Arabidopsis thaliana: one gene and its partner. The protein of the gene in region 2 purifies or fractionates together with the protein of the main gene of each other region. This does not show direct contact. Each region holds a gene or a part of one and is shown on either strand. Other genes may lie near its edges.

What was found.
Region 1: the proteins of PBF1 (region 2) and RPT3 purify together in Arabidopsis thaliana (affinity purification with western blotting; 2 studies listed by BioGRID, with this or other methods). This does not show direct contact.

Annotation. Positions count from the first base shown.
Region 1 is NC_003076.8:23,564,373-23,574,366, reverse strand, and holds RPT3 (regulatory particle triple-A ATPase 3), read right to left. Parts: upstream 5,316-9,994; 5' UTR 5,213-5,315; coding exon 4,748-5,212; intron 4,643-4,747; coding exon 4,412-4,642; intron 4,330-4,411; coding exon 4,171-4,329; intron 4,071-4,170; coding exon 3,918-4,070; intron 3,793-3,917; coding exon 3,709-3,792; intron 3,386-3,708; coding exon 3,251-3,385; 3' UTR 2,513-3,250; downstream 1-2,512. Other genes in the region: AT5G58300 (Leucine-rich repeat protein kinase family protein), read right to left, coding at 1-127, 214-1,546; AT5G58280 (AP2/B3-like transcriptional factor family protein), read right to left, coding at 5,697-5,885, 5,972-6,178, 6,274-6,433, 6,507-6,571, 6,652-6,750, 6,829-7,029; ABCB25 (ABC transporter of the mitochondrion 3), read right to left, coding at 7,327-7,467, 7,547-7,682, 7,777-7,841, 8,177-8,269, 8,348-8,413, 8,662-8,742, 8,884-8,939, 9,036-9,124 and 3 more. UniProt on the Arabidopsis thaliana protein: The 26S proteasome is involved in the ATP-dependent degradation of ubiquitinated proteins. The regulatory (or ATPase) complex confers ATP dependency and substrate specificity to the 26S complex.
Region 2 is NC_003074.8:22,465,436-22,481,464, forward strand, and holds PBF1 (N-terminal nucleophile aminohydrolases (Ntn hydrolases) superfamily protein), read right to left. Parts: upstream 8,505-16,029; 5' UTR 8,375-8,504; coding exon 8,328-8,374; intron 8,194-8,327; coding exon 8,086-8,193; intron 7,614-8,085; coding exon 7,532-7,613; intron 7,424-7,531; coding exon 7,294-7,423; intron 7,209-7,293; coding exon 7,066-7,208; intron 6,967-7,065; coding exon 6,880-6,966; coding exon of another isoform or gene 6,876-6,879; intron 6,678-6,875; coding exon 6,603-6,677; 3' UTR 6,334-6,602; downstream 1-6,333. Other genes in the region: AT3G60790 (F-box family protein), read left to right, coding at 245-862, 951-1,121, 1,199-1,513; AT3G60800 (DHHC-type zinc finger family protein), read right to left, coding at 2,051-2,170, 2,298-2,363, 2,650-2,735, 2,829-2,952, 3,057-3,148, 3,238-3,463, 3,629-3,838; AT3G60810 (DUF1499 family protein), read left to right, coding at 5,144-5,280, 5,365-5,421, 5,502-5,624, 5,714-5,780, 5,888-5,980, 6,060-6,173, 6,268-6,321; ARP7 (actin-related protein 7), read left to right, coding at 8,863-9,165, 9,368-9,509, 9,758-9,999, 10,076-10,259, 10,345-10,565; MAP65-4 (microtubule-associated protein 65-4), read right to left, coding at 12,138-12,481, 12,571-12,826, 12,914-12,988, 13,073-13,146, 13,242-13,329, 13,407-13,558, 13,689-13,848, 13,958-14,113 and 4 more. UniProt on the Arabidopsis thaliana protein: Non-catalytic component of the proteasome, a multicatalytic proteinase complex which is characterized by its ability to cleave peptides with Arg, Phe, Tyr, Leu, and Glu adjacent to the leaving group at neutral or slightly basic pH.

The DNA of each region.
Region 1 (9,994 bases), on a different chromosome or scaffold from region 2:
TTTATGTTTCCATGACTGAACTTTGGACCTCCAGCTGCATGGAGATGAGCTATACCTTTTGCCGCTGATAGTGTGATTTTTACTCTGGAGTCCCAGTCAAGAGGCGTTTTCTCACTTCCCCGGTTACCTGTCATGGCATCGAAATCAAGATATTCTTAAGTACACCAACGAGGTAAATATAAACCATTAAACGAAGGTAGGAAGAAAACTAACCGTGGAGTAGTGATGATAAGTTACCAGCAGGGTAATAATCACAAACCATGAGCTTCTCATCCTTGGAGTAGTAATATGCACGGAGGGGAACCACACTAGGATGGTTCCCGACCCGGCTGATAATCTCCATCTGCTGTTCAAACTCCCTCTTTCCAGCTGCGACTTCTTTCAACCTTTTTACCACAACAGTTGTGGATTCCTCTAACACAGCCTTGTATGCTGTCCCATAGCTACCTTTTCCTAGTACTTCTGCTGATGCCCTCAACAAATCCTCTAGATCAAAGTTATAGGAGCATCCATTAAAGAATACCAGCTTATTCTTCTCAGGTTCTTGCACCCCACTTCCAAATTCTTGCTTTGCTTTCTCAGTCAAAGTCTTTACTTTTACGATGCTGTCTTCCCTCTTGTCCTTTTTCTTGATACAGCAGCATAATATAATTACGGTGATCAACAACAGCAGAGCAGCCCCTCCAGCTGCAATAGGAATGATAGTGCTTACATGTAGTTTCCTTTTTGAACCTTCTTTGTGAGGAAATGGCGGCAATGGAGGCGTGGAAATGTGTGGGGTTAGCGAAGGAGGGGGAGAGGAGGTGGCACAGGGTTGCAGAGGAAGTCCACATAACAATGTGTTTCCGGAAAAAGATGAACTGGGAAAGCCACCAAGTGCAGAGGGTATTGAACCATTAAGATGATTGTTGCTCAAGTTTAAACGTCTCAGACTTACTGTATCAAGATTAGGTACTGGTCCAGAAAGTTTGTTATTTTGGAGGCTCAACCCTGTCAATTGCTTCAGATTTTGGAACGTTGCTGGTATCTTCCCGGTGAAAGAGTTAAATGAGAGATCTAAGATATTGAGCTGTCGGGACACAAAGGAAGGAACCTCACCAGAGAAGTTGTTATGTTGGAGATAGATGTAATCTAGTGAAGGGAGAGAGTGAATGTCAGGAGGAAGGTTACCACTGAGGAGGTTTGATCTCAAACTGAGAATCCTGAGTGATTCTAGTTTACCAAGTGTGTTTGGAGGGATTGGTCCCAAGAGCCCAATTCCTGGAAGGCGAAGAGCGTGAACACTAGTACCATCAGAAGTGCAGGTGACGCCAACCCATGATTTGCAGATATGGTTAGTGGAATTCCAGTTGAGTCGTCTGAGATGAGGAACAGAAGCAGCAAATGCAAGAAGAGCTTGCCTATCCGAGTTCAGGTCGGCAATAGCATAAGAGCAGAAAGTAGTTGTGACAAACAAGAAAGAGACAAGACAAGTAGACAAGAACCCCTTTGACGGTCTCAAGGTAAATACTGGACCAACATAAAACTGGAAATGGAACTGCATCATCAGCTTGACTTCTTGACCCTGCTCCAAAAGAAAAGCAGAAGATGATAAGCAATGACTTCCACTACACAAGCCAGTATGCAGCAGCAAGGAAAGCTAAGCTAATCAGGTATCTCTAAGGAACTGGCCAAGCAAGCTTCATTTATTGGATCACAACATTGAAAGTTGATAACTAATATTCGGTTGTGAAAGAAAAAAGCATATCAGTTATATAAAAAACTACAGATGGGAAGAAAAAACAAATAAAGATACTAGTTAGATCTTCAAGAAAAAGTATGCCATTGCCTATCTTTATCTTTATCATTGGGAGATTAAACAATCCAAGAGGCTAAGATAAGAGATTGAAGCATCCAGCACAAAAAAAAAAGCAAAAGGAATAAAGCTAAAGAGCCAAACTTTAACACAAAACTTTGATGAGCAAAGAAAAGCAGACTCCTTTTGCCAAAAGATATTGTCACTAGAGAAAGAAGCAGAGGTCTGTCCATCATGTGGACAATGTCACTAAGTAAATAAAGATGAGTTTTGAGTGTCTGATTTTTATCGGAGTTGTTGAACAAACAACGTGTAGCCAGCGAATTGGAACTAATATACCACGTCACTAGCCTGTATCTAAAGTCTTGAAAGTTTCCTACCCACCTAGCCGGAGAAAATGGCGATTTTTAAGTATAATTCCCAACAATGAGAGACAGACAATTACAGAAAGTTAAAAGGAAAAATACAAAAACCAAAAAGAAGAAGAAGAGAGAAAGAGAACCTGGGAGTAGAGAGGTAAGCTAGCGAAGTAAGAAAATTGTGGGCACTGAAGAACTCAGCAATAGAGGAAGAAGAACTTATGCAGATGGAGCGCTCAGACCTCTGCACTCTACTGCATTGAGCGGACTATAACACAATCTTGAAATGGTGAAAGAGAAGAAAGAAGAAAAGGCAATGTATGTGGGGACTAGTGGAGAAGAAGAAGAAGAAGAAGAAGAAGAAGAAGAAGAAGAAGAAGAAAGAGAGAGAGAGTGTGGTGAAGTTAAACAAAAGAGGCGTATTCGTTAAGGGTAAGACAGTCTTCAAAAGGAGTCTTTAGATCAAATCATATTGGTGTGTAAACACCGCAACAAACGCTAATGTAGAGAGACCCAGAGACTGACCAAGCTTAAGATTCTTATGAGATAGCAAAATGACAAATACATGAAAACAAAAACCATCTTGATCCAAGTTGTTATTTTTAAAGTAATCATTTAGATATGGTAATAGTTCTTACCTGTCCAACCACTCTTGCTACTGTTTTCTCTTGATTTGCATCATTCTTGATTTGCGGATACTATGTAATAGTAATACTGGTCATTTCATCATCTATCACCAACTCCAAAACAAGATCCAACACATTTAGGCATTATTGAAGTCTGAAGTTTTCTATGAACATTGAGCAGTGCAGCGTGCTCCTAATATCATCACTATTTTTGTTGTCTTTTTAATCAGAGGAGACATAATTATTACCATGCTCTGGCAATTCTAAGGACACCATCCCCAGTTTTTCTTATACATTAAACTGTAAAAAGCTGATAGACTAAAAACAAATGTGAACTCGAGTTACAGAAATTAGGAGATGCAACTTAGTTCTTAATTTAACTGCAAATTTGATTCCATGTCCTTAATAATTCTCAAAACACACTGGAATTTTAACAACAGCCATAATCTGGTTCCACTTCTGCTTTCTCTTCACTTGTAAAACTCAAAGTCCGTGTCTGGCTTCTTAACATTTGCGCGGTAGCCCTTCTCGAAATCCTTAGGTAGTATCACATATCTGTTCTTTCGCACCGCATGCATACCAGCTTCCTGGCAAATTGCTGCTATCTGCATTGTTCAACATAAAATCAAAATAGTGTCATTAATAACTATCATCATTACATGCAATCTTTTTAGGAACAATTCCCATGTACATGATAAAATCAAACCATATTACTGCCAACAATTGATTTCTCAACAATTCAGTTCAGGACAATGATTAACAAACGACTCAGCTAACATTCATACATAATGCTTGAAACAGTATGATTATGCTCAAGTGCATATTTTGAAGAACATCATTAGGTGGTGACCCAGAAACACTGGAGGATATATCATGGTAAAAGTAAACTATAGCGGGAAGAATAGAATGGTAAGCAAAATAAACTAACCTCAGCAGCGCTAATTTTATCAGGCCGTGAAACATAGTCTTCCAAGTCAACCTCATCGCTAAGGTTCATTTTGGAGGTGCATACCTACACAAGGAAAAACCAATCAATAAGACAGAAACTAAGATATCAGTCAAAACTTTCTTTTGAGAAAACATTTGGTTTCATATCTCTTTAACTAGTTATTTAAGTGCTTGTAGTAATTAACTTACCTGGAAAACAAGCCTCTTTTGACGTCTATCAGGAAGGGGGAACTCAATCTTACGATCAAGTCTTCCAGGACGTAAGAGAGCAGGATCTAGAGTGTCTGCCCTGTTTGTTGCCATTATGACCTTGACATTCACGGTCTGGTCAAATCCATCCATCTACATCGAATTCAACACAATAAGTTAAGGACACAACTAAAATCCATTATTCTACAACATAAGATCTGAATTACAACTAAAATTCATTATTTGTTCTCACCTGATTAAGAAGCTCCATGAGAATACGCTGAACTTCCCTATCGGCTCCTGTTTGAGCATCAAACCTAGCAGTAGCGATGGCATCTACCTCATCAATGAAGATGATAGCTGGAGCATTTTCCTTGGCAAGACGGAAGACATCACGAACCATACGAGGTCCCTGCAATTAAAAAACCAGTTAGTCACCAAATAGAATCGCTCAATAGGACCTAAACCTTCAATAAAGCTATGATTTTTAATACCTCGCCGAGATACTTTTGCACAAACTCGGATCCAACAACCCTAATGAAGGCAGCAGTTGTGTGATTGGCAACAGCCTTAGCCAACATAGTCTTTCCAGTACCAGGAGGTCCATAGAGCAAGACTCCACGAGGTGGGTCAATACCAATCTGTTTGTAAAGCTCGTGGTGGGTAAGAGGCAATTCAACAGCCTCACGAATTTCCTGTTTCTGAATATCGCATCCTCCAATATCCTACACAAAAAGATAAAGCACCACATAAGAAACCAAAGATCGTTTCAAAAACCCTAACTTTAATTCAGAAAACAGAGTCGAGATTTGGAAAAAAGGAAACATTACATTGTAGGAGACGTCAGGCTTCTCAGATTGGCTGAGAAGGGAGATGCTAGAATCAGCCTCCGGAGGCAAAACATCAACAAGGGCGTTGGAGTGACGGTGAAGAGCGACGGAAGCAGAAGGCTTTAAGAGTTCTCTATTGATTGTGCTGAGAATTCTGACATAGTAATTGGAGCCAGTAGTAGATCCGACGATGCCGTTGTTCTGATCTACCATCTCCATGAACTGACCTATCACCAAAGGCACGGATTGAATTCGTTTGACCTCTTCTTGTGCTCGTAACAGCTCTCGTTTGAGATTCTTTTGCTCGTCTTTCACATATTCTTCTTGGATATCGGTGAACTCTAGTTGTCGTTCAAGCGATTTGAGGCGGCCATAGAGATCTTCTTCGTCTGCGGTGGATAGATCCATCAAGGCCGGTGATGCTTTAGGGTCAAGAACCATCGATGCAACAGCCGCGGAAGCCATTCTTTGAGAGATCTTTGAGGGTGGGGGAAGAGAAAAGTGAGATTGCTATGAAATTAAATAGACTTTTGCGAACCGAGATATCTTTGGAGTAGAGGAAAAGAAATGTTAATTTGTGAGCCGACTCATCTAAATAAAAGGAAAATAGATTAAATGGGCCTTTTGTCATAGTAAGGCCCAGTTTTGATATTTAATAGCCCGTTTACTCTCTCCATTTTAATTTGTTTATTTTGTGACGGAGTTGGTCTAAATGGTATCATCAGAAGTATATAGCTCATCATCGCCTAGTAACCAAAACTGAGAGGAAACAATTTAAATTTCCGAACCAAAGCCGCTCATCAGAGTTTCAGTTCTACTTTCAAATTGAAAAAAACAAAGTTTACCTTGGGTTGATAAACTTACAAATATGCCATTAGTATTAGTAGTATTAGCAGCCCACTCAAAAACCAAAAAAATATATGGGGCATGTAGACAAAAGAAAGCTCTCTTATGCTTTCCTCTTCCTTAGTAACCTTACGGATGATCTCTTAGTGGCTCTTGAGCTGTGTTCCTCATCACCTGATTCTTCAACATCCTTATCTTCTTCTTCTTCTTCTTCTTCACTTGGCGTCGTTGCTCTGCCTCTCTTTCTGGCGCTTGTAAGATTAGCGTTCTCATTTCCTTTAAACACATAGATCTGCACCAAGCAAACATTTTATAATCAACATGTGAGAATGTCAACTAACTCCAACCACATGACTCTTGTTCAAGACACATACATACCTTGAACTTCTTTGGTTCAACCAATTCAAAGAGTAGAGCATCACCATCATCCAATTTATGATCAAGAGCAAACCTTTTCCAACCACCACTGAGTCCAGCTCTTCTACCAATGTACACTGCTTCATACACTTCGCCTTCTTCATCCTCTAGTTCTATTTCCATAGTTTCCTCAGGAAAATTGTCTGCACAGAATCTTGAAGGAAGCCCCTTGAAATTTGCAAGCAAACCCATGTAGGTCAAGTAAGGTACTAACACGAAATCCTTGAAGAAGAAACACACACAAGTGTTGTGAACGAACGTACCAGCCAAAAGCAACTGTAAACATGGGAGCGAACCATAGATTTCACAAAGTAAGGATGTGGAGATTTAAGGCTCCTCTGGAACTTCTCTGCAGCCTTGAATGCTCCAACCTTTTCTTCATAAGATGCAAACTTGCACTCATGGAGAGGTCGAGAAATGTAGCTGATGAATTTTAACTAATTGATCAGATGAAAGGATAGTTTTTTAGGGCAAAATTGTGGAGCAGGGCACTTACGTCGCCCATGTAGAGCTATGTCGCGATCTCCTCAGATTCGAAGTACGACCAGTGTCTACGACGACCTGAAAAGAGACAAGGGATTGGGTTGATTGATTGCTGTGAAAAATCTATTACAGAAGTAAGAGAAAGCTGGGAAAATTACATCATCGCGATAGGAAGAAATTACGGTACGAACACGGGAAGAGCGTCTTGGTTCAGCAGTAGCTAAGAGGGCTTTATCGATGGGTTTGTGATTACGCTGCTGAAGAAGCTGAAATTGTGGTAAAGCTACAAAATTGGACTAGGAATGAAGCAGAAATGGAAGGAAAAAACACGAAACCTGAGGCGTTTTCTTTGTAATCTGAGTCAGAGTCTTAGAAATCTGGGAAATTCCTAAATCCTGAGATTCAATAATCAAAATTGATAAACGAATCAGAGAAGGAGGAGAAGAAGAAACGCGGTAACGATGAAGGGTAACTTGAAATCGCTTGTGATTCTCTTGAAGACGGAGCTTGCGAGCTTCCTCATAGGCCATGGCCATTGCAGAGTTTCCTAGGAGGAGAAAGAAATGGCGCTTCGTTTGAATTTCGAAATCACGGACTTCTTCTTGTTAATTAATTAATAACTAGTTGGGCCTATTTGGGCTTTAACTAATAAAATTGATCATTTTTTTATCGTAAGTTTACTTGCTCAACAAAAACTCGTGTTAAAATTATATCATTCACCACTATTTATTATTCCCTTTGTTTTGTGTTCTTTGGGACTCTATTAACTATATAAGCTCCATAGAAAATCAATGAGATAAATATAAATTTTACACATTTGGCTCTGAGGTTCACTATTCCAATTTGATAGCTGCATCAAGCATATCCACGCTGCTGTTTTGTTGTGTCCATAGCTGCGCATATCTCCCTGATTTTCCCAATAGCTCGTCGTGGGGGCCTTGTTCCACCACCTTCCCGTTTTCCAGTACTACGATCTGCCCGCAACCAAAAGTTTCAGTTATGCAAAAACATTGTTTCTTTGAGCTAAGTTGACAAACACTATTTACTACAAACCTCGTCACATTGCATCGCAGTGGTCAGCCTGTGGGCAATGAAGATAGATGTCCTGTTACTCGCTAGTGCCTTGAGTGCGTTCAGTATCTCTGCCTCTGTTGTGCTGTCCAGCGCACTCGTTGCCTCATCACACAACCTGTGTACACCAACCATCTCTATGTATGTGAGGACTAGACACGTACATAATCACATAAGTAAACTCAATGCTGCTTCTGTGCAAAGTTACTTACAGAATCGCAGGGGATTTCAAAAATGTCCGAGCAAGTGCCACTCTTTGTTTCTCTCCACCACTCAACTGCACACAACACCACTCCATGGTTATCACAATACAAAAACCCCATCAATATATGACTCTACTCAAACTCAGGATGGTCACTCATCAATGCTACTCTTTGCCATTATATAGAAAACCTCAATCAGTTAAATCTTTTATTTTTCATGATTGTTACAGTCCTGCGAAACTAGTTTATTAGATCATATTCTTCATCAAGTTTTCAACAGGTGAACTTTGACTTGGAAGCCTGATTGACTTAGCTTGTTTTACTTTGATTATGACAATGACAAAAACGACGGGTGACTAACTCCCCATAACTCAATCATGCATTCCAGATATAACATCAAAATACTGACCTTGAGCCCCCTTTCCCCAACGATCGTGGAATATTTATCAGGGAAATTACTGATTGTTTCATGAATTGCAGCACGCCGAGCAGCCTCATACACCTGGATTGAAAATTTATGTTAGATGAGGATTATTGATATTAAACTTGACATTTCCACCAAGTATAAGTTGACTGGTACCTCTTCTTCTGTAGCTGAGAGACGTCCATAATGTATGTTGTGAAATATTGTGTCATTGAAGAGAACCTGCAGTGCAGTAGAGATTACCCTTGAGAACAACAAAACTTGGAGTGCTATACCTTCACAAAAGCTAACAATGATACATATGAAAAATAAAAGAGAAGAAAAGTGAAAAAAAACATAAAAAAAATCAAGTGTCTAGCATGACCAGAGAAGTTACAATGAGAAGAAAGGCGAGAAACAAATGAATGCAGGTCATAGTGGTGTATATAACAAAAAGCCTCACGATGAGAAGTAGAGAAATGCCAACTTACAGTATCTTGCGGCACAACTCCTATGGAGCTTCGGAGGCTATCTAGTCTCACTTCCTTTATATCTTGCCCGTCAATCCTTATCTGTTAACCAACATGACAAAAAAGATGTTATCTAGATACCAAGCATTTTCTTCACTAAATTTCTCTGCAGCAGGGTGTACTTTCGTTGCTACAATGCTTCCAAACAAGACCCCACATTTCACAAACAAAAAAAATGCTTACATTTCCGGAATCTGTGTCGAAGAATCTGAATAGCATCCTAAGAATTGTTGACTTGCCTGCCATAGAACAAATAATAAGATTTGCAACAGTATACCAGAATAACAAATTTACACAGAACTTAGATGCTTAAACAGAAGAGGTTTAGGAATTACCGCTCCCGCTAGTACCAACGATTGCCACACTTTTTCCTGCCGGTACGACAAAGGAAATTCCATCTAATATTTTTCTCTCTGGAAGGTAACTGTAATTGTAGAAAAAGAGAAAGATGATGTGGCAATAGACATAAGTTATTAACCCCCTTCGTCTTCAGCCACAACATGAAGCTGATATCCAAATCATGCAATGTCTTATAATTTGCCACTTTGATAAGCTCAACAAAGCTAATTAGTAAAGACTTTCTGGGGTGTATTGAGTTCATAAGTTAAATAAAATTTGAGTTAATTACTCATATTAATCTTAACACACTTTCATACCCAAGATACTATGGCTCCAACGATTAGTATGACAGTAATGTTCCACTAAAATCAACACCTACCTGAAGTGTACATTTTCAAACTCAATGTTTCCACCTTTCAGTACAAGAGGCTTTGCGTCACTTGTATTTGTGATGTCAGATTTCTCCTGAAACAGTAAGAGAATACCACATAATCAATTCAACATGCCAGGAGTGCATACTAAAAAGCATGCATTTAAAGCATTATCATAAAAAAAAAAGTGTTTAAGAAACTTAACCAAATGCAGAGTTTAAAGAAACAATTATAACATCCTCACATACCTCTAGCAACTGGAACATTGATTTCATGTCCACAAGGCTCTGAATTGTTTCACGGTAAACACTACCCAAAAAATTTAGAGGAAGAGACAGCTGAAAGAGAAGTCCATTCACCATAACCTGCATCACCCAAATATGCAAAAGCTTATTAGAAAACAATTTGGATAAAAAATGCAGAGAAACATAAAATACCAATGTCAAGGAAAAATCAAAGGACGCACTGACCAAATCACCGACTGTCATCTGGCCATTCATGATACCCTGAGAGCACAACACCATTGCTGTTGATAAAGCTGTACTAAATATGATACTTTGTCCAAAGTTTAAGAAAGCAAGACT
Region 2 (16,029 bases):
AATGTATCAATTGAATCTAATGATATACCTCTCTCTTTCAATTAACAGATTTAACTTATTGATGTTTGAAAGTGAATTAAACATATAAAAGTCATGCATAACTAGCTATACAACGCATCTCAACCTTTCCAAAGCGTTCAACATATATATGTAAACCAATGTAGGATTTATTGACAAAGATTATTGCATGCATATGTTTAAATATTATTGTATAACATATAACAGTTCAATTTGTGTTGTGCAGACTTTAAACAATCATCGTGGTCATCTAGAGAGCTGCACAATCAGCCATATTCAGTTCATTTTTTTGTTCATCGATAGGTGGATCCAAACAGTGACTCGTGAGAAACAAACCAAGGAGATTACTCTTGTCAACAATATAGGTTGCATGACACCTTTTGTTAGATATAATAGTCTTCACTTGTCCCCAAGTGCATTCTGTCATCCTAGCCTCACTTCACTCTCACTTACTCGATATAAGTTACTCGAGAAAGCCTTCAAGAACTGCTGCAATCTTAAGATCCTGAAGCTTTATGACATCATGTCCGATGTTAGTGTCCTTAGCAACGTTATCAAAGCTTGCTCCTCTCTTGAGGTGCTTGTGTTGCAAATCACATTCTTAAACCAAGCAAGTGCGTTGAAGATCGAAAACAAGAAATTAGAATTCTTGCAAGTGACTTGGCCTTGTCTGATGAATAGGATGGAAGTGAATACACCTCGTTTGGTGATTTTTGACATCAAATCTATCTACTGTTTTGGCTACTCAGTTGAAGCCCCTAAATTAAGCATGTTTAAAAGAGATTATTGGGTTGGTGGGATGAGTTACCCTCATCTTAGCTACCATATATCAAGTCTCGCTCAGGTACAAGTACAAGCAACATGCATGCCTTTGGATATAATTTTGAACATAATATTTTGTTTTGACATGGTTTGTTGTATTATGAATTCAGGAGAAAATAAGAATTTGGCTTGAGCTTATGGTGAGCCAAATTTATCATATGAAACGGACTGGATCCTTATCCGTGAGTGTCGATGTGAGAAATCCGAACGAAGTCGAGATTTTGAAGGAAGTCTTACTTTTGTGGGATGGAGAGATGATGGATCTGGAGATCCTCTTCAAGGTACATTTTACTTGATGGTTTTTTTTTTCTATGTGGATAAATAATTTGATCACTCACATGTCATATTTGCATTTTAGAACAACAATGCTCCTATAGAAGAAGGTGAATCTTTTATTACTGGTGGAGCACGTAACAAATGGTGGGATGGTGAAAAACCGTTTCCAGATGATTTCTTCCGCGTTTGTACTGTGTGGATGTATAATTTCGATGGTTCTAATGAAGAGGAATTTGCATTAGCGTCACGTTTTGTGACACAAGGAACAGTGACTGAAAAGTTGATGATAAAGACATCGACGTATCCTCCAGTGAAGCAATTAATGACAGAAGCAAAAGTGGCCAAGCTAATGGAACTTCCTAAAGGTTACGAGTATTTGGACATTGAATGCTTTTGATGATGGTTTTGGTTCGAATCTATCCATTGGTACTCTTTCCTTTATTACTCTGAGGATTATATGGTTTTAAATTTCAACAACTGTGTTTTTTTGGGTATTTGTTCTCTATTTTTAATGTGACATTTGGATATGTATTGGTTTGGATATTATTTGAGGTTTTTGTTTTGGTCAAATGGGATTATGTTATAATTGCATAACAAAACCATATTGGGTAAAAGCTGATTCAAACAAAAGAGTCAAGAGGATTTAGGGTAAATCATGTGTGTTCTACATTTATAATAAGATCATATCTATATATGAACTATTGAAGATGATGAACATATATGTGGCCAACAAAGCTAAATTGTAATCATCCTCTTTTCAAAACCCACAAATTTGATGATGACTTAGCCTTCCATGGGAAGACATCTACACTGCCTAAAGTGAAGCATCCATCTTCATGTTAGTAGATTTCTCCTTGACATGCCACTTGCTCTGTTTTTCTACGTATTGCTGTTTTACATGGGATGATGATGATGATCAAAGTCTTCTTGAGCATCACTGGGAATCAAAGTCGGGTTTCGAAGGGTATTCAAGTCCCTGCAGCTCCGGCATTCGCCTTAGATCTTCTTCTGTGTATCCTGGGATTAACCAGTATCTCTTATCCATTCCAAATACCTAAACACGATGAATCCCCAAAAAAGAAAGCCATAGCAGTGAGGGAGAAGAGAAAGCAACTTAAAAACTTTGAAGTGCTACATTCAGATGGAAGAAGAAACTAAGCCAATGACTTTAACTAGCTAACCTGTTCAAAGTTTTTCTTTTTACCGAGGTCATACCGCCATTTTGTAGTGGTTTTCTTCTCATATGCCTGTTACAACTCAACACCAAGAAAGTTTCATGAGAAAGAGTAAAGAGTCTAAAGACCTAAATTCTCATTTGAGCAAAGGAAAGCTCAAAGCAGCAATGGGATGCACCTCAAAGTGTAAGGAGTTGAAAGATCCAAAAATCTCATTTAAGCAAAAGTTCAAAGCCTTAGCCATGAGATGCACCAAAACTCTAAAGATCCAAATTCTCGTTTATGAAAAAGGAGCTTCTAGCTTTGGCCACGGGAAACTTTATAGGTTCAAGTCAAAAGAAAAAGGAAAAGGAATTACCTCTATAGTTGTGGTATTGCCAGCTACCAAGGAAATATGCATAATTAAGAAACCCATCACGCTCAACGCAAATGCCAAGTTCAAAACTGTTGTACGATGAAACAAGGTGAGAATGATTAATAAATGAAACCAAGTTACACACTACATACCATATATAGTATAAGGAAGTAGGAACATACCAAATGCAAGAAAAGTAGTAGCAAGAGTGCCTGGGGTTCCAGGTATTTCTTCATCACTAAAGAATGCAATGAAGTGCGGCATAAGAACCAAAGTCACAAGGGTCGTCTCTAAAAATGTGTAGAACTGCATATGAACATAAGAAAAACACACACAAGTTATGACAAGAGGACCAGATTACAAGCTGAAGAAGATTCTATAACATTAGTAGTGGTAGAAAACAAACTTACCAAGAAAAGAAGAAAATACTTATAGTTCAGTGCTCCTACACAGTTAACAACCCAAACACAATGGTGATCCATCTTCAACACACACCGACCACCTATATTGGAATCAACCTCACAACAATTCAGTTTCAAGACTCTTAAGTATACATGGTAAGAAAAGAAAAGAGAAACTGAGGAAGCTTACAAACAGAACAATGATGACAACGAGAAGGTTTTAGTTGATTGCACTTCCGACAAAACCGAACTCTTGGGTTTGAAGAAGAAGAATCGGATTGTAAACCAACAAAGTCCAAACTATTTAACGGATCAGATTCACCTCTTTCTTCATCAGTAGATGGTCTCCAATTAGGAGGCACAACACCAGGATCAGTAAAAACCACTGAGAAATAGCTCCACAAAAGCATTGCCAGCTGCACCAAGATAAAAACACATCCTTGTCTAAATTCACAAAACTTCAATCTAAAACAGAACAAGACTTCACATCTAAAGCAATAAAAAAGGACCAAACTTTATTGACAGAATTGAGTAAAGCACAAAGCTTTAGTATTTTGAATTGGGGAAGATGATTGACTTACGAGGAAATGGAAGAGGATTAAGATAGTGAGAGCAGCAAGAGAATCAAGGCCACCTTGAGAGAGTGCAGGACCATAATTAGTCAAAACGACAGCGTAATAAGTAACACCGACAACACCAAGAACCAAAAGGATCATGATCGATCCAAGACCTCGTAAGGCAGTACAGAACTTGAATACGTTCCACGCCATTGTTGTACCAGATCTATGCATAGTCAAAAGCAACGATCGAAAGAAAACCTTTCTGGATCTTCCTTCCGGAGTAAAAGGAAAGACGCGTAGTCAAGGCCAAGGAAGAAATGAAATAAGTGTTTCTGGGGAGATTTCGAAGAGGTCTTAGGGTTTCTTTAAATCTGGAAACAAAATCAAAACAAGGGGTTTAAGGAATAATAATATGAGAGTGCTAAATTGTAAGATGCAGAGACCCCATGAAGGAGGAATGATGCGGAGCTTGAGGAATGAGACTTTTTCTCCTTCTTGGATTCGTTTTCCTCTTTTGGAGCTAACAAGAAATTTCAGACGAAACACTTTTAACTTTAGATTTGTAATTTAATGACTTTTAGTCAATCAATCTTTCAGAAGCCCAAACTCAAACTGTGTAAATAATATGTATTTTTTACTACTAGCGTCAGAAAATGTTACATTTCGGTAATTTCCCCGGTTGATTCAAAGCAACCCAAGCATCTTGCGGTGAACATACTTTACATCTTGAAAATTCCAAATTTTTGTTTTAACCTTGGTTTTGGAAGATTATAATATAATCGGAAAAATTAATTGAGAAATTGATTCATAAGCATTTTTATGCTTCGTGTGGATAAATTAGAATCTCATAATACCAATTACAACAAAATGATGGTGAACATATACAATGAATTTGATATAAAAAAAATTTTCGTTTCATGGTCGAACGGTGAATAGTCGAAGATGATGAATTTTTTATTAATCTTAAAATCATAATAAATAATAAAGTAATGTAAATTTAAATTAAGGTTTAAAATGTTAGCAAAATTATATTAGTGGTTTATAATGTTAGTGGAATTCTTTAGAGGTTTAAAATGTTACCAACTGACATTTTGAAGGTTTTTTTTTTGTAACCCTGGTATGATGATTTTATTTCTCAAAGGACTTGACACTTGACTAGTGAAGGAAAAAACAAAAATGAAAAAAAATAATAACAAATCGCCCACCGTGGGGCTCGAACCCACGACCACAAGGTTAAGAGCCTTGCGCTCTACCAACTGAGCTAGACGGGCTTCTTGAAAATATTTCTACATTACGCTATTAATTAACTTGGTGTACCTATTAACAACATTTTACAGCTATCATAAAAAAAAAAAAATCCTATCATATCAGTTTGGTAGTTATATGTGGGTTTTCTGTTATTGGGCTCCTGAACGAACGAGTAAAACTCCAATGGGCCAATAATAGATTGATAGTAGTAAGCCCTGTAAGAAGTAACAAACTTCTTCTTCTTCTTCTCTTACTCCAAAGAGTAAAGAGAAATCCGAGCTAGTGAAGATGGCTTCCATGGCGTCACCGACCACTTGCTTGTACCACCACAAATGCCGGAGAAAACTTGTTTTCTATGCCCGTCGTATCAGTGCCTCGATTCCAGAGACTTCATATGACAAACATCCGAAGCTAATTGGTCGAAGGTACTAGTCTCTTTCTCTCCTGCTTGTGCTCGTGTTTATCACCGAACCAAGTATCTGATTTTGAGATCTTTGTGAAATTGGAAGAGATATCATTCTTAGGAGCAGTGAATTAGCTATGATCGGAGCCATATTCCAGCTTAGGTATGTTTTCTTCACCGGAATTCTACATCCCCACGGCTGAGGTGTTATTATGATGATGAAATATTTGTGAGTGGTTTTAGTGGGAAAAAACCAGATTATCTAGGAGTACAAAAGAACGAGAGATTGGCTCTATGTCCTGCCACTAATAACTGTATCTCCACTTCTGAGAATATCAGTGATCGAGTGCATTATGCTCCACCATGGTAATTCAAGAGCTTTTTGTGTTCAGATTTGGGTCTTCTGGTTTGAAATGTTTGATCATCAAACACTGTCTTGTTGTCCTGGTGGGCAGGAACTATAATGGAGGAAGGAAAACACCTGTGAACAGGCAAGTTGCAATGAAAGAGCTTCTTAATGTGGTACAATCCTTAAACATGAACTGCAATCTCAAGATATGAATCCAGTCACCATTTGAAGTTCTTGTAATCTTCCAGTAGTTACAGCGGTTTTATCACCATTGTTGCAGATTAAGTCGGTGAAACCGGATAAATTTACACCGCGGATTGTGGAGAAGAAGGATGACTACGTTCATGTGGAATATGAAAGTCCAATCTTGGGGGTAAGTTAAGTAAGCTTTATGTTGCTCTCTCAACCTCCATACCTCAATATATTGGACAAGACCCTTTGGTTTTTGACAGTTAGTAGACGATGTTGAATTCTTGTTCACTCCTGGGAAGAACTCGAAAGTGGAATATCGATCTGCATCCCGTAAAGGGAACTTCGACTTTGATGTCAATAGAAAGCGAATAAAGGTAACAACTCGGATACTCAAGTGATATATCTCTGTTATTGCCACTGGCTAATAGATAATATGCTCACACTTTTCTTCATTTTTTACCTATGGAGGCATTGCGACAAGAGCTAGAGAAGAAGGGATGGGTATCAGAGAACAGCTTCTGAAGAAAAGAGTTTCCAGATTCTATTCTTGTCTATTAAATATCTTAATGTGATCTATGTAAAAACATTGCCATAAATAGTGAGAGAAACATTGATTTAAGACAAGGATTCGAGTGATTCTCATACATAAGGAAACAGTTTTGGAGAAACTTCAAACACGAGTCATGATTTTAACTGTAAAATATCAAACCCAGTAGCATTTCATACGAGTTCTACAACTCAGGAAGCTCGATGTTGAAGTGAAATAACAAACCGATAAGGTTGGCTAAATGCACTAAAGGAGCTTAGTCTTTCCTCAGGTCCATGAGTTCGGTCTTGATACCGTCGGCCTTAAGTATCATAATCTCAAGCTTGTCTCCCTATTACAGTAAACAATCCACAAAGCATTAGTTAGAGAAAAAAACTTGAGGAAGATGAAGTAGTTGTGCAACGTAAGGGATATAGATTAAGTAAATGTTTTGGTAATATTTTGAAGACTTGAACCAAATGCAAATGATATGAGCACAAAGGCAAGCTTTAGGTGGCGTGGTGACAAAAGAAGACACAAATAGGACAACTTACAGTGTAGATATCCCTCTCTGTGGCAGATGCGAAAACAGTTTTAACCAAGTCAACTGCTTCAGCTTCGGAAAGGGGCGTGTTTGAATCCTACATGGTGGCAGAAGACGAACAAATAAGCAACAGAACGATTCATTTTATCTTTACAATGCGAAACGCCAAAAGCACGAATGAAGAATATCAACAAACCTGTTTAGGTAGCAAAAGAGGACTTGGAGACTTGAGCTGATTGTCAAGGAAAGGCATGATGAGTGTGGAACCAGAACCTTGAGCACCGTATCCAACTCTCTCGTATGAGCCAACAGCGTCGTAAGTAAAGACACACCCTTTTCCTGGATATATTCAAGACTAAAGATCACACAAAGTACCCTCTTCTAAAGTCACATCATAACGGAGAAAAAAAGAGGAGCATTTTACCTTCCTCGTCAAGCCCTCCTAGAACATTAAAGGCATAGTAGGGGAAAAACCGCTTGAAATAAAGCGTGTTGGAGAGAAGCTGGGCCATTGCAGGACAGCTCATCTGCTTGTTATGCTGATGTTGATAGATCTGAAGGAAACCAAACACAGAGAAAACACTCTTACACAAGTCTTTCATCATTTTCTAATACTGCGAAGGATGAAAGATAATTGATCAAACGACCAAAGTTTAACTCACCAAGTGTCTGGATTTGAGAACCTTCTGCAAAGCTTTCACATCAGCCTGGAAGCCAGAGGAAGACAAAACAGCTCTGTCCGCTCTGGAAAAGTTAAAAGAAGACAACAGCTTAACAAGAGTCTTACAAGTTACATAAGATGAAAAACACGAGAATTCTATCTATTTCCATACGAATGAATACTTGTGGTATATAAGATCAACAACACAGTAACAAACACTCTTTACGTAAGGTTGAACAAACTCAAAGAACTACACACATTGTCAATAAACGTTATAAGAAAACGAATAAGCTAAGCAATAAACCGGATTATAGAATGATCAATGTAATCACAAAGTTTATATAGAGATAATTGTAACCACTATCAAAAGCCATGTCTAATAATAATTAAGAAACCTATTTTATCTCCACCCATATATAACTGGTTTCACCCAGATCTACGAATTACGATTGCAAAAAAACCCTAATAATCTACAGCAATAATAGTTCGATTGCCAGCATGGAATCACTCTCCCAAAGAATCAACAGTGAGAGAAGAAAGAGAATGGGTACTTACAGTTTATGGATTTTGGAGTAATCGCGACTAAGAATACTGTAACCAGTAGACATCCGAGTATCGGCGGCGATAACACAGTAATCCGATCCAGCGATGGCCACACATGTTCTGAAAAACACACAACGATTAAATTCACAGTAAGTGAATCGTAACACAATCGCCCAGATAGCAAATCAGAATAAAGAAGAAAGACACTAAGCGAAGAAACCCAGCAGGTTGATTAAAGGTCACACGATCCGTACCCTCCATTGTTATCGTAAGGAGACCAGTTCGCGTGCTGTTTAGTCATGGCGGATTTGAGAGAGAAAGCTTTGAGCTAGGGCTTAGAAGAATGAAAAATGGCAGACGAAGCTTTCCGGGTTTGTGTTTTGATGTCAAAGAAACTTCCGAATCGGATCTTATTAGCTCTGGCTTTGTTAACAAGAAAAAGACGGAGACTCAAAACAATACCGTTTTGGACGTGGAAATTACGGGCTGTAATAGGCTTTATAATGGGCCTTATTTGGGCTTTGAATTCCAAAGAAATAATCTTTCTTTTCTTTTCTTCTTCTTCTTCGTCTTCGATTTTCTCTCTCAACGCAAACTCGTAAGCTGCTTCCATTTTCCCTTCTAGACCATTGATTTGTTCTTCGAAAAAACCGTTCTTTCTTTTGCCTCTCACTCTAGTTCCTTCTCTCATTTCTACTTCTCTAGCTTCACTGACTTGCTGCTACCACTAAATCTTGGCATTTGTGGAAAGTTGGGAATTTAGGGTTTTTGGGTGTGTGTGTGAAAACAATGGAAGCACTAGTTGTTGATGCTGGCTCTAAGTTCCTGAAAGCAGGAGCAGCAATTCCTGACCAGTCTCCTGCAATGATAATTCCCTCTCAAATGAAACGAATGGTTGATGATGGGTCTTCTTCAGCTGATAACCCCACCACTGTCTTTGAGGATGTCACTCTTGATCCTATTGAAAGGGGTTTGATTAGAGATTGGGATGCTATGGAAGATCTGTTGCGTTATGTTGTCTACACTGGGCTTGGATGGGAAGAGGGAAACGAAGGCAATATACTTTTTACAGATCCACTTTGTACTCCTAAGGTTCTTATCTCCAAATTTCCTCCTTTGTTCTTAATTTAAAAGATTACAACTTTGAGTCTCTTTTCAATTCCCATAATCCTGTTCTGTTGGATTATGAAAAGGAACAATTTTGTTCTTTTAGTACCTCATTTTAGATAGTAAGACGTTGTTATTTTTAATGTTTCGACCTGATTTGGCTCTGCAAATGTTTGTTTGTGGACAGGCTATTAGGGAGCAATTGGTGCAGTTGATGTTTGAAACATTCAATGTCTCTGGATTTTATGCATCTGAGCAAGCAGTGTTGTCCCTTTATGCTGTTGGACGCATCTCCGGTTGCACTGTTGATATTGGTCATGGGAAGATAGGTATTATAACTTGCTTGGCCTTTGTTACTCTTTGTGTCTTTCACTTTGTCATAAACTCATAATTCCATGTTTTATGTGAGTTATGATGTTACATGAGATGCTGATTCCCTATACTAACCTTTTTCCATGATCTTAAACGTTTTGTTAAACCAATTTTTTTTGGATTCTTCTTGTGTTTATAGCTGGATATGATCAGGATGTTGTTATGTCTGATGTTTTAACTTTGTGGTTGATCCAACTCTTTTCAGATATTGCCCCAGTTCTTGAAGGTGCAGTACAACACATTGCCTCGAAACGGTTTGAGCTAGGTGGAACCGAGCTAACTAAATTATTTGCCCAAGAGCTTGGAAAAACCAACCCGTCGATGAATCTCAGCATGTCTGATGTTGAAAAACTCAAGGAGCAGTATGCAAACTGTGCCGAGGACGAAATTGCTTACAAAAAAACCCAAAACTGTGAAATCGAGCAGCATACTCTTCCTGATGGACAGGTTTGTGTGAAATCAAGATTCTACATTTTGTGTTGTTACCTTATACATATAGATAACAAAACCAATGGCCTTATAGGTGATAAGCATCGGGCGAGAGAGATACTCGGTTGGAGAAGCTCTGTTTCAGCCATCAATACTGGGACTGGAGGAGCATGGAATCGTTGAGCAGCTTGTCCGGATTATCTCCACAGTGTCATCTGAGAACCATAGGCAGCTCTTGGAGAACACTGTACTTTGTGGTGGTACAACCTCCATGACAGGTACTAACAACACTTGATATCATAGTGTGTTTGAATATCTTTTGGGTCGGAAAACTGAAGGGTTTGTTGGAATGGTCGATGGCAGGATTCGAAAGTAGATTCCAGAAAGAAGCAAACTTGTGCTCATCTGCCATTAGGCCAACACTGGTGAAACCGCCAGAATATATGCCGGAGAATTTGGGGATGTATTCGGCTTGGGTTGGAGGAGCCATACTAGCTAAAGTGGTGTTTCCGCAGAATCAGCACGTTACTAAAGCAGATTATGACGAGACTGGACCATCAGTGGTTCACAGGAAATGTTTCTGAAACCATAGACTATAAAACGATGTTGTTGTTGTAGCTGAGGATTTTTTTTTTGGTTGGCTTTGGTTTGAAGATGTGGACCAGATTATGTAGTACATTTCAAATTATGGCTTCCAAATATCGACTAATATGTGTTCAATGAGCCCTTTTCTGAAAACATTGACAAGGTAACTTTGCCAATGCCAACACACACCCATTGTCAGTGGAACTCTAAATGGTTTTGCAGATATGTAACCAGTGAAACTCTTGGTTTTGATGCAGAGAATGGCCAAGATCCTCTTTTTCATTTTGTTTTGAGATCTTTAGTACTTGTACAATCAAATAACACAGTCCCTTTTTGTTTTGTTGGTGTTGTTTGCTGAAATTCGAGAAGGAAAGGGTCAGTGTTAATGTCTAAACAGAATTCAATTTTTTTTATTTTGTAAATTGGTTGCCTCTTTACCTTGTTACTTGTTGTTAGCTTATCTCATCCCTTCTCTCATCTATATAATCGGAAAAGTTTTTAATTAGTGAAATTTAAAATGGAAAGATAATTAGTAGATTTTCTTTGACTTTCTTGATTTTTTTTTCATAATTAAAAAAAAACTATTAATTCTTGAAATTTTGCACGCAACCCGTTAGATTCTAAATTGGTGACGTATATAAACTCAGAAGAAGTAGTAGTACCTTCTTTCACAAGACTCATTTTTTAACGTTCAAGAACAGAAACAAAATTCACTCACTTATAAGGTCTGTGACCACCAGAATAGTAACCATCTGTTGACGTCACAAGTAAAGGAAACCACCCAATCTCACTGTATTAAACGCATCTCTCGAAAATGTTCCCAAACGAATCAATGTTAACCACCTAAAGATACGGTGTTGTTGAAACAACTCTTTTGTTAGTATGTGTTAGTTTAGTACAATAAAACCTTTATAAATTAATAATGTTGGGACAAAGATATTTTATTAATTTAGAGAGATATTAATTTATTAATTTATAAAGAGAATTTTTGGTTTTCAGATTTTTGAAACTTTTCTATATGTAAAAATAAGGAGTTTTGTTATAATTCTATGATTTCAAAATTTCACTTCATAATTTTTTTGATGCGATTTGATGCGATTTGAAAAGACAACCCCAGAAGTTTTTAATGCAGTAAGGAAGATTAGAGATGAACTCCAAAAAAGTTGAAGAATAAGCAAACAACAATATAATCATATTTCACTAAATTTTCTTAAATATATATATATATATATATATATATATATTATAGAATTATTAATTTATGATATTGATGAGACTATATTTTACTTAAGATTTTCAAAAAAAATATTATCTTATTAATTTATCGATTTGTGTTGTTTTTTATAGTAGTTCCAACTCGGACCGGAAGAATTTATTAATTTATAGAGGTTATTAATTTATCGAGTATTAATTTATAGTGTATGTGTGAATAGACACAAAAGGGAAGAAACCAGTTTTCTTTCACTTGTCTCATCAAACGAAGTATCTGACTTGAAATTTCTAGAAAAAGCAGTAAATCGGATACATGGTGTAGCAGCTTTCTAAAGAGAGGAGACCAGTTTTTTCACGGTTTAGCAAAAACCGGCCCTAACCTCTTCAAACGAATACTCAACAATAACGTCTTCCTCATCCATTCTCTTCTCCACAGCAGGAGTGAACGGCGTTGTTGCCTCTGTCATAGCGACTGAAGCTGCAGGAGTTGTTGGAACAGCTCTTTTCTTTTCTTCGTTGGTTTTAGGTGTCAAGATTCTCTCCTTTGTTGTGTAAGCATCCTTGTGATGATCTTCTGGGGAATTCAAGATATTGGAAGTGACAGGTGAAAGAGGCTTCCTAAGCATTGGAGATCTCGCAGCTTTTCCTGCAACCGGAACGTTCTTTGATCTGATACGACCAGGAAGCTCTGAGTTTCTCCTCCCTACACATATTGACATAATTCTCTTAACACAAATCTCTCTCTTGGTCTCTGTTAAGTGTAAACCAAAATCTTGTGTTATTATTATGTACCTGAAAGAGTTGGAAGAGCTGAATCTCTTCTACTAGTAGCGTTCTGGTCATAGTACTTCGTCCTTTTGCTATTGAGTGTTGCCTTCTCATGCTTTAAGCTTTGATGAAGCATGGCACCACCAAGGGAGAGTTTTCTGTTCATGGCAGCATTTACTGGTGTTCTCAGTGGTTTCTTTCCGCTTTTATTTGGGCTTGGTTTAGACCCATAAAGAGCTTCTTGCTCTGTTATGAGTTGTCCATGAAGTTTCTTCATATCCTGAGATGAAAGTAACAATGTCAAATTGCCAATGATGCTTTTGGCTCATAGTGACCTTGGTTCCTAGTAAAAAACAGTTTTCCTTACTCTCTGTCTCTGTTTTTCATGCTCTTTCTCTTCCCATACAGTCTTGTACTGACCAAGCATCGATAAGACTCGGACCTGAAATATTTACGTGCTTTTGTGTAAAGATGCTGATTTGATAATTGTGTAGAACAGATCATTGATCAGTAAAAAACCACTTACCCCATCATATAAGAATTCATTTCCTCTTTCATTCTCCCAAGCAGTGACTTTGGCGGTCAAAGCTTCCACCATCCCTGCATCAATAGCAGCAGAAAGCAATAGACAAAAAAGATCATAAGTTATGAGTTTGTAGGTTTTTGTAATATAATCTAAAGAGCAAGAATGTTACCAGGAAGTTTATTGACAAGTAAACGGGCTTTTTCTGCACGCTTCAATGTAAGATGAGCTCCTCTTCCAGCGTTGTACCGGTTATCATCCTGCGAAGCCAACGATGTGAGAACAAAACAAAAAAAAGATTGAGGCAAAGGAATAGATTTAGATTTAAATGTCTAACCCGATTGTACTCTTCCAGCCAAGACTCTTCTTCACAAGCTGACATCCATTTCTCCACTTTTTCAAGAATCTCCTTCCTGCTTGAAGCTTCCTCTTTGACCTTTGCAATCTCGGAATCAATTTGCTCTAACAACTGCTCAGGATCCTTGACACCTAAAAGATGAGTGGAAACATGTTATTATTAGCATGTTCATGTTATCTACCAGTATAATGAGCATAACATTTCTGGAGTTTGTGCACATCATATTATGTAAAGAATAAGCTGTTCCTAATAATGGTTTACCAGATTCTATAGCTTCAACTGAAAAGTTTTCTGATTTAAGAACTTCGGTGGCCATGTGCATCTTCCTTGATATTTCCTCAAGCTCAAGCCTCTTCCTCAGTATCACCTCTTTGATCTTAGTTATTTTGATCTTGCTAAGCCTAATGACTTCATCCTCAACCTGTAAAACAAACTCACATTATAAAAAAGATTGTTCCTATACTATTATAAACGGATAGACTAAACAATACAGGGAGAAAACACAGAAAGGTTTGGTCCTGTGCACTCACGCGTTTAATGGAAGCAACAGAAAGTATGTTGGCCTCAGTTATTTCAGACTCAGTCAAAGCGATGCTACATGTGACATTGTGAAATATCTTTTGCTCTTCCGCAGGCGTGTCCAGCAGATTCCAGAGCTCCAACAAGGACACTGCAAGATCTTGAACCTAGAAAAACAAAGTGATGAGAGTCAGAAACCATAATCACGCAGAAAAACTTGCACTACATTACAAAGAAGAGCTCAGACTTGTAACCTTCTGCATTCGCTGTAACTTGGCCTCTCGTAAATTCACAATCATCATATCCAACTTATCAAGAGTACTTCTGCTCACATCCCTAGTGTTGGAATCAACCAGAGATGAATGTATCCCTCTTATCATGCCTTTGAAATCTTCACCAAGAACCGAGCACAACGAGTTAAGCGTTTTCAGCAAACACTCTACCTCTTCCAATCTTTTGCTCTACATTTTGAAAAGAATTCAAAGTTAACATAAGGAAAACAGGTGCACATGCTCTTGTAATATAAGTCCCATATCATGAGATCTAACAGCAAAACCAACCTTTTCATTTTGGAGCTCACCCAACTGGCTACGCAATTCCTCCAACCTCTGAAGCGAAAGATCGGTCTCTTCAGCAGCAAACTTCTTCAGATAATCTGTTGGATTTCCAAGTTGCAGTGACAACTTCAGTAACTGATCGATAACTTCATTAAACCGAATCATTCTCTCAGCTTTCCTTTTGCGCAGTCCATCCAATTGCACATTAACATTCTCAAGCTCCTCTTTCAAGTTTTCTCCTAACCTGCTGTTAGACTGTAAGAAGAAAATGCACCATTACTTGCCATAACTCCAGCAGACAAAAACCAAATATATCAAAACTGAAGTCTTGAATACACTTACATGAATCTCTTGTCCACCCATAGAAGAGCCAATAGCTGCAATTTCTGCTCTGCCAACAGCGATTTCTTTCAGCAAATTCGCTTTACCCCGACTAGCCTCCTCGACCTTTCGCTTATAAACCGAGAGACACTCCTTCTCGATATCAGCCAAAGAAGCATCTTTTTCATCCTCAGTCTCTCCCATTTCATTCCATATTTCCTGATATCATCAAAATTGGTAAATTCCCAATTTTGAACATAAACAAAGAAAACGAGGATGTGAATCTTCTTCAAGAAAAGACCTGCAATTGGCGAAGTAACAATCCACATGTAGTCTCGATTCTCGAAAACTGCTCTGTTGAATTCCGTATCATGGTGATTAAAACCTATAGACAAAAATTCCCAATTATCAACATCACAGCTGAATTGTTTCGTGACTCCGATTCTCGATTACACAAATACCAAATTATTCGGAAACAGATACAGAATTTTCTCTGTTTTCTCCGCAGAGTTAAATTACAAAATCGCGATGACTCATGAAAAGTTCAAGAAGATTTTTAACATCTACAAGAGAAAAGAGCGAGAAATTAGAAACTACCTGGTTTGAGGATCAGCGCCAAGAAGAAGATGTTGTGAAGAATTGATCAAAGAGAGAGAGAGAGCAAAATTAGGGTTTATAAGTGTTGTGAGTATAACGGATGTGAAATTGAAATTTGAACAAGGAGCGGGAGGAGGGTCCGTTACGATCCGAGTCTCACGATTTATTTTGACGTGGAATCATCTGAGCCGTTGTATTAAATTCCTCTTTCCGTTTTTTGCTTTTCTCCTTTTTATTTGACGGACCAGATTTAGTAAGCAATAAAGCCTTGAATTTCGAAATGGATTTTTTTGAAATATAATTGGCTCCATAATGATATCTTAAATAAAATAAAAATGTAGGCCAGTTAAACAACTAAAATATATTTTCAAAAAGCACATAAATTATCAAAATCTTTTCATAGTAAAAAAAAAAAAAAAATGGATAATGACTGCATTGACATCTCTATTACTTTGACATTGATATACTCTTTGACTTTGAACTGATCCATGCATATGATAAGAGAATGTAAAGAATAAACGCAAAATAACTATTTTTGCAACTATAGAATGAGACTCTAATATTTTGTTTAGAACTTTTATTTCGTCAACAAAATGTTACAGTAACTA